Danio rerio: one gene and its partner. The protein of the gene in region 2 interacts with the protein of the main gene of each other region in a biochemical or structural test. Links are inferred from orthologs where the notes say so. Each region holds a gene or a part of one and is shown on either strand. Other genes may lie near its edges.

Region 1 (4,474 bases), on a different chromosome or scaffold from region 2:
CATGTATAATGATTTGTCAGATCGAGCAGGTCTTCTGAAGTAATTCACAACTTGGTCTTGATGACGAATCACCTCCAGAAATGACAGCGACTCTTTGTTTACAGATTATGGGCATTTTAGTAATTGCTGTGATGTGCTGTGCATTTGACAGGACTGTACCTCACGTTCGTTTCATACAGATTACAAAACCAAAAAACTTTTGTGTTCAAGTGTAGTTGGTTCATTCAAAAAGTTCAGATTTCAAGCTTCACGTGGATATATTTCTCGTGTCTGTGAAGCAAGTATTCACTGAAATTCCAGTGTGTTTGTTGACCACCAAACTGTCATAAAAGCACACGTCTGGTCCGAGCTTCTCCCCTGGAGAAACATCATTCTATAGCAATCAATGATTGGCTGCTGTACAAGTAGGCGGGGCTTCATTCGCCATATTGACCGTTACACTTTTCCTCATCCAAAACTATACGAGTGACATGCTTTGTGTATTCTATAGCTAGATCTTTGGCGCATCTCACGGGTGTTTGTTCATTTCGCTAACTTTGCAGATGAGTGCCCTAAGGTAAAACCCGCCTCTTGCTCCTTGGCAGCAATGTATTGTGATACATTTTTAGTGGCTTCTAGAGATAATCACTGTTTCAGTGTAACTCGCCATTCGACAAGTGAAAAAAGAAGACGTATTATGTGTTTCACTGCTATCTAGTGGTTGGGAGCATTTCCGTTGTGTTGTGAGTTTAATGTTTGCTTTTTTGCAAAACTGCGAGGCAGCGAAAAGTTAACTGTGCTATAGCGAGGGGCCACTGTACTAATGTAAACCATTTTGCTACAAATGCGTACTGTAACTTTTTCAAAAGATGCCACCAGAGTGACAGCTCTCGTACCATTACTTCTGAGACGGAAAGTGTGAAGAACAAAAGAGCATGAGCGCATGGAGGACAGAGTCAGACATGAAGATGCTTTCCTACTAGTTATAGCACTAAAAAATGTGAATGAATTTCAGAGGATGTTTACAAGAACAGTAATACACCTCCTGAAATGTAAATGTAACTGCTAAATTTGTGTTTTAACATTGAAAACAGTTTGAAAACAATCTCACCTAACACTGTACTTTCACTTCAAAGAGGCTATTCAGTATTTATAACTTATTTGTTAGCAGGGCATTTCTACATGTTCACTGTATTTTGTTAGTTGTTAGTTATGTTTTGTTTACTGTACAGTATGTTTGAGTTTTTTAACATTTAAAAAAAAAAATTTATCACTGACTTCAGCTTCTGATACAGCTTATTTAGCAGTTTGTGTGGGCTACATGTGATTTTAGTTCATGTGAGCTTTTTCTGGCGGCTGAAGCACAGAGTTTGGGGAAGTATTAATTACTGTTGTTTGCAAAAAATGTGTGTGAGAGAGAGAGAGAGAGAGAGAGAGAGAGAGATTTTCATTTGTATGAAGCATTGTTTGTTTTACTTATTCGGACTAAAGTGTGTCACAACAGGAAACAGGCCAGTTTAGGCAAGGAAACTTGGCCTTGATGACCTTGGAATAACTAAATCATGACGGCATAATTTGCATTGCATCTACATATTCTGCATATGTGAAACACGAAAATGCTAGTGTTTAGTTGTATATAATAGAATTAATATTTGGACAATGGACATAGTTTACCAGTTCATCAATCCTGAAAAGAGAATGTTTATAAATATATAATATTACTATATAATATTATTATTTTAGCAAATTTGACATGCTCATGTCTGGATTAGTGCTAATCAACAGTGCAAACTTCCATAGGTAGCATTTCAAAATGTCTACCCATCCATCATCTATTTGTTTTATTTCATATTTTATTAATTGATATAAAAAACTTTAGAAATCATGTCAGATCTTTTATTTTTAATCGTCTAATACTTATGTAGGCTACTCAACTCATTCTTTTACAAATTGTTTATCCTTTTGTTTCGTCAAACTTATTGACTATATTATCTTATTGATCAGCTAATTGTGTAGGCTATTTATAGACCAAAATGAAAAGGAAGCCGCAGCAAAGTAAAAAAAAAATTTTAAGAAACAAAACAGACAAGTAAGGTGTCAGAAACTACTGTACCACAGCAACAAAAAAAGTAAAGCAAACTGTCACGATTGACAAATCGTTACCTTGATGACATTCTCAAAGATGGTATCCCTGAAGTCGAGCAGCGCTTTCTGGTCAAACTCTTTTCCGTGGATGATCCTCATCTGCTTGAGGAATGTGGACTTGCCGCTCTCTCCGGCGCCCAGCAGCAGGATCTTCACCAGCCGTCGTATGGAGCGCCGCTCGCGCTTCAGCATCGAGTCGATCTCGCGACTGCGCCGCTTCGCCTCGCGCTCCCGGTTCACGTCCCGCTCGCGGGTGCGATCTTTCCCGGTACTCCTGTCATCGTGAGCGGCCTCAGCGGGCAGTAAACACCGGCTCAGGGTGCGCACCACGCCAGCCATCCTGTCCAGCTTTAACACGGTCAGTTATCACCTGATCTACTCATTAAAGTGCCAAAGAACTTTATCTTTCGGATAAAATCTACTCAGCTCATCTGTCTACAAGTGTTAACAATTTAAAGAGACACTAAATGAGTAAAACCGAATCACCGCGGACACTTTCCTCCATTATTCTAAAGGCATTTGTTGAGGAAAGCTGAATAGAGATCCTTTCCACAGCAAAGCGACCACCACTGCTGTCCGCTAAAAAAACTTTAAAGAAATTATACAAACAAATCCACTGTTCGTGACAGTACAATAAAAATCAAGCGATAAATATGGTCAGGAAATGTTAATTCGCTGAAAAACGCATTCCTTTACATACTGGTAGTCCCAAAAGTTCATTCTGGAGGAGCGCGAGCGACTTTCTGATGTTTCCACTCAGTTCTGGGAAGTTTCTTTGACTGAGCGACTGACGCCCCTGTTGAGCGCGTGGCCGGCAGGGGGCGCGAGCGCGCGAGAAGGGTGTTTGTTCGGACATGAAGGGGGATTCCAGTCCGTGTCACAAATGTCGTTGTTACACAGTGGCCCCTGGCTGTCTGTCTGTTATCTACTTCTGTCTGCGAGGCGGTGACAGTTTTACATGAGGAAAAGTGCTGATAACTTTAATAATAAGCATAAAACATTTTACAAAACAAATGAGAATTCCCTCCTTCTACTCCTGTAAATCTACTAACATGCCAGCCTAGCTGTTGAAAAGGTAATTCATACTCATTCTTAGTCTTGAATGCTTAATCTTCATGACAAACAAATTCAAACACACCTCATTACTTAGTCAGGTGAATGTCATATGATATAATTAGCCTTTATTTATTTATTTTCTTTCCTGTCATAGAGCTAAAGCAGGCCACAACTATAGATTTGGTCATCTTCAATAAATCAATCCAGTCACTGATACACAAACTCCTTATAAACTGATAAACTGGCCATTTTTAGTTTATTCATTTATTCATTTTCTGTTGAATTAGTCCCTATTTCAGAGGTCCCACATTCTTCTTCTTCTTCTTCTTCGTATTATTATTATTATTATTATTATTATTATTATTATTATTATCGTTGTTGTTGCTATTTATTGTTATAATTATTATTATTTATATAATTATTATTATGTATTAAGGGCATTTCTATCTATCTATCTATCTATCTCTATCTATCTATCTATCTATCTATTCATCTATCTATCTATCTATCTATCTATCTATCTATCTATCTATCTATCTATCTATCTATCTATCTATCTATCTATCTATCTATCTATCTATCTATCTATCTATCTGTCTGTCTGTCTGTCTGTCTGTCTGTCTGTCTGTCTGTCTGTCTGTCTGCCTGCCTGCCTGTCTGCCTGTCTGTCTGTCTGTCTATCTATCTGTCTATCTATTTATCTGCAGTCCTGGGGAAAGGGGTTGTTTTTTTTCTCAAAATGTGGACTTTTTGCAGTTATTTACTTCATTTTCCTTTTAATTATATTTAAATACTCCAATAAGTGACATTTTAATCACTATCTGTAGTTGGATTAGCTTGTAGTATCCTCCATTTTCGATGTACCTTTAAATGTAAATATTTCCTAAAGATTTATAATAAACAAATATTAAAAAGAGCTTCACAATTTTCTTCTAGCCTCTCTTAAAATTCATTTAACAACAACAGCCTAATTAGTATAAACAGCAAAAGTCAGTCTAAGACACTCGACAAATGGGGGAAAATAATAAAAGCTTTTACTGACATGGCTATTTTTTTTTAAACTGCGCCTACACGTTTTGATAACATTTGACTTCATCAGGTATAACCTGATGTAGCCGCAGTTTTAAGCAACAGCTATGTCAATAAAAGCTTTTTATAATTTTTTTCTACATTTTTTGAGTGCCTTGGATTGATTTTGATGTTTATTCTGATGAATCCCTTACACAAAAAGCACACATTATTTAAGCTACCCCTAAAAACTTTTTGATTGATTTTTGATTTTTATACACAGCCT
Region 2 (3,829 bases):
CATTTCATAAATTAAACACACAAACACTTCTCCTGTTTTCCATACCAGAAATAGTTGTTTGTTCTGTTATTTATTGCCACATCGGAAACGTATGGCTTTTCATGGAAAGATTAATATAGATAAAGACATGCATAACAACTTCATATTCAATAAGAGAAATAAAACATTTTACATTAAAAACATTAGATATGATGCCTCAGTTCAATAAATGATAAAAAAAAAACATCCATTGTTAGAACTGCGTTGTTTTGGTCTGTTTTTGTATCTTTTTGTCTGTTGTATGACTTCAGCGCACCTGATGCTCGTCGTCGATTTAAATGCAGAGCGAGAGTTCTTTAGGGTCGCTGTTCCTTTATTGTTTGAAAAGTTGGTCAGAACTGCGCTCCAATTTGTGTCATTATGTTTTGTTTTGCATCCACGCACTAACACTGACAAAACGTCCTGCATCCATTCATTTGCCCTTCACGCTGACTGAACCCACTGATAATAATGTTTTGATTATGTTATTTTCAATTGTGTTAGAATAAATATTATGTTTGACTGTATTTCGCTGTGTCATCTCCCTTAATGTTACATCTTTGAGCCAGGTCTAACACCATCAAAGTGTTCTCAGTATAAAAATCTTGTCTAGTAGACTTAAAAAATAAATAAATAAATAAAAAAAAGTCCCATTTAAGAAAAAAAAAAAGTCGTAATGTAAATTTGACTACAAGTAAATGACATAATTTTAATTTTTGCCTGAACAACTGTCAGCTACAAACTCATGAAACTATACAGAAATTCCTGCAACTGTCAAAGCAATGATGACCAATGCCAGACCTGATCGCGGTTGTTGATATTCGAATAAGGCAAAGTCCCAGACATCAGTTCGTAGAGCACCACTCCATATCCATACACATCAGACTGGAAGGTGTACGGGTTAGTGTCTTGCATTCTGATCACCTCAGGAGCCTGAGAAACAACAACAGTGTTACAAGCATTAAACTACTTGACATATGCAGTAAGCTACCAGGTATAAGATTTATTGATGCTTGGTGACTGATTCTCACCATCCACAGGATGGAGCCACTGGGCTGTTCGACCTGCTGTGAGCCACTCCAGCGAGACTTTACTGTAGCCAAGCCAAAGTCACCGATTTTTACTGTCCAGCCTTCATGCAGGAAGATATCTGACACAAGAGCTCAAGAATATCATGCAGAACACAGTTAAAATAACTATACTAGTAGGGGGAAAACTATAAAAAAAAATCCTTACCTTGCAAAAGATTTTTCATTAATATCCACAACAACCCGTTTGAACTAAAAATGCATGTTAAAACAACTATTAACAGATGTGGTACTAATAATGACATCTACTGAAAGCAAAAGGGTCGAATGTGATCCATCCTGCAACAGATCTCTCACACAATACAGGCAATACATAATACATTATGGAAAGGATACTATTAGATTTCAAGTCCCGATGAATGATATTCTTGGCGTGAAGATAACTGTCAAGAAAAGCAACCAAAGTTAAAGCTTAAGGTAAGAATAAAGTTTCCAAAGCTCTGTATAAAGAGCTTACATAAAAGGTGGGACAATCATAAAGCATTAGTGCATTTCTGGAAATGTGAATTTTCCTGTGCAAGTGTGTTCTGGGATTCTGAAATGTAAGAGGTATTTTCTGATCGGAGCACCTCAAATTTATTTTAGGAAGTTGCAAGTGTGCTTTTACAAGTTCAAATCACAGTCTATCACTATCAGTTATTCATGATGCAAATAGCAACCATTCTTAGCCACCATTGTTGATATTGCATTAATGATATATTGTTAGTTAGCCTGGGTGTGAAGAACCAATAAATGATCAGCATGTAATGGTATTTTTCATTTTGGAAGTAGCTTTTCAACAGTTCTTATATTTCTTTTGAGATTTAAGATCCTTAAAAGGATAGTTTAGCGTTAGCTCATACTCAAATGGTTATAAAGTTTATAAACTTGTTTTTCAGTTGAACACAAAACTAAATATTCTGATGAAATTTGGAAGTCTATGGAAGTCAATAGCAATTTTTCCCAAACTTTCCTCTGCAGCACATCTTTGTGGTCAACAGAAGAAAGAAATTCAAACAAGTTTGAAAAAAGAGAAGGATAAGTAAATGATGGCGGAATATAAATTTTGGGGGAACTATCTCTAATCTCTATCTGACCGACTATCTCTATCTTTAATAGGGTTTATGTAGATTTCACAAAGTTAAATTTAAGACTTTTAAGACCATTATATAAAAAAAAATCTGACTTTTTATATTATAATTTGTTATTTATTAACCAAATATTTTAATTAAATTGGCAAAACAAGCTAACCCTAGTAGTACTCATGCATATTTTTCAATAAAATCTAAAAAAATAAACTAGAATAACTATTTTTTTTAAAAACTATAATACACTAAAATGTACGCACAACAGTCAGCCTCCTCACCATATATGGACTATAAATACACAGAGAACTTTTAAACATTAATTATTGTAAGGACGATAATTAAACCAAATTGTAAATTGTTACAAACAAATTTTTTAAAAGTTCTATAGAGATGAATTGTTGGCGATTGTATGGGTGTTGGGTAGCTTTACACAGACATAGGAAAATTAAAACCTGTTTACAATTATTTAAAGACCTACAAGACAAACTTTCAGTGAATTTAAGACTTTTTAAACGCCTAAAATTTAGTTTATGAAATTTAAGACATTTTAAGACTTTAAGATCCCACGGACACCCTGCTTTAAGCTTACCAAGGCTACATCTATCTTGATAATATAATAAAATAATTTCTTATTTTACTATTTATTAAAATCATAGAAATGCATTTTGTGAAGGCAAAAGCTCATAGAAGCACCCAATGTCATAAAAAGCTGGTTTGCTGCTCATAAAACATTTATTATTATTATCAAGTTAAGATTTACAAATTAAAAACCTTAACCATTTAACTAACTGAATGTACCTTTTGGCAAATAAAATATGATTTGCCCAAAAAAAAAAGCATTTTTAAAGTCTTACTTAAATGTACTTAAAATATCACATTTTATTGCCTTTTTAAAGAGCAAAGATTCTGCATGCAAGATAAGAACTAAACTTATACTGCTGAAATGAAGAAAAAAAAGAAAACAATTTAATATTCTTACTCCATGCCCTGTGCTGTTTGGCGAGCAACATCAATGCGCCGCATGGTGTCAAACTTGGTCTCAGTGACATGCAGATGGCGATACAGACTGCTGCCTTCACACCACTGTGTGATAATGGCAAAATTAGGCCTTGTCATGAAGCCCATAAACAGCAGAATGTTTACATGGCGTGTTTTTCTGTAGAACAAAACAGATATATAGTCAATGAAACACTCAATGGTTGTAGCAGCTAAAGACATTACTGTTGTAACTAAGCAGCATTACTGCAAACTACTGCTTACTAATGATCAAAGATGTTCTGTGAAGCTCTAAATCCCACTGACGACTCACCGTAAAACCTGCATCTCATTTTTAAAGGCCTGGAGCTGCTCCGGTGTGGGCTCTGTCACTTTAAGAATTTTGATGGCCACGTCTCCATGCCACTTGCCTTTAAAGACGGTCCCAAAAGAGCCTGCTCCAATCCTCTTTAACATGGACACCTCCCGCGGGTGCACCTCCCAGTAGTAACTGGAGTCTCTGTAACCTCCCCGGTGCTTCAATGACACCACAATTATATATTTTTTTTGTTTGAAAAGGCTGATTGTAAATAAGCAGAATCATTTTTGTATCAGAAAATAAAGATGAATAAAAACACACCACTTTCTTTTTATCATCAGACGAGGACTGCTTTCGTTCCT

What was found.
Region 1: the proteins of araf (region 2) and gna12a form a complex in vitro, tested with the Homo sapiens proteins (2 studies listed by BioGRID). The link is inferred for Danio rerio from reciprocal best matches to the Homo sapiens genes ARAF and GNA12.

The regions. Positions count from the first base shown.
Region 1 is NC_133178.1:40,653,118-40,657,591, reverse strand, and holds the start of gna12a (guanine nucleotide-binding protein subunit alpha-12a), read right to left. Parts: upstream 2,871-4,474; 5' UTR 2,464-2,870; coding exon 2,143-2,463; intron 1-2,142. UniProt on the Homo sapiens protein: Guanine nucleotide-binding proteins (G proteins) are involved as modulators or transducers in various transmembrane signaling systems. Activates effector molecule RhoA by binding and activating RhoGEFs (ARHGEF12/LARG).
Region 2 is NC_133180.1:27,471,415-27,475,243, reverse strand, and holds part of araf (serine/threonine-protein kinase A-Raf), read right to left. Parts: coding exon 3,789-3,829; intron 3,686-3,788; coding exon 3,483-3,685; intron 3,330-3,482; coding exon 3,153-3,329; intron 1,490-3,152; coding exon 1,443-1,489; intron 1,169-1,442; coding exon 1,050-1,168; intron 952-1,049; coding exon 820-951; intron 1-819. UniProt on the Homo sapiens protein: Involved in the transduction of mitogenic signals from the cell membrane to the nucleus. May also regulate the TOR signaling cascade. Phosphorylates PFKFB2.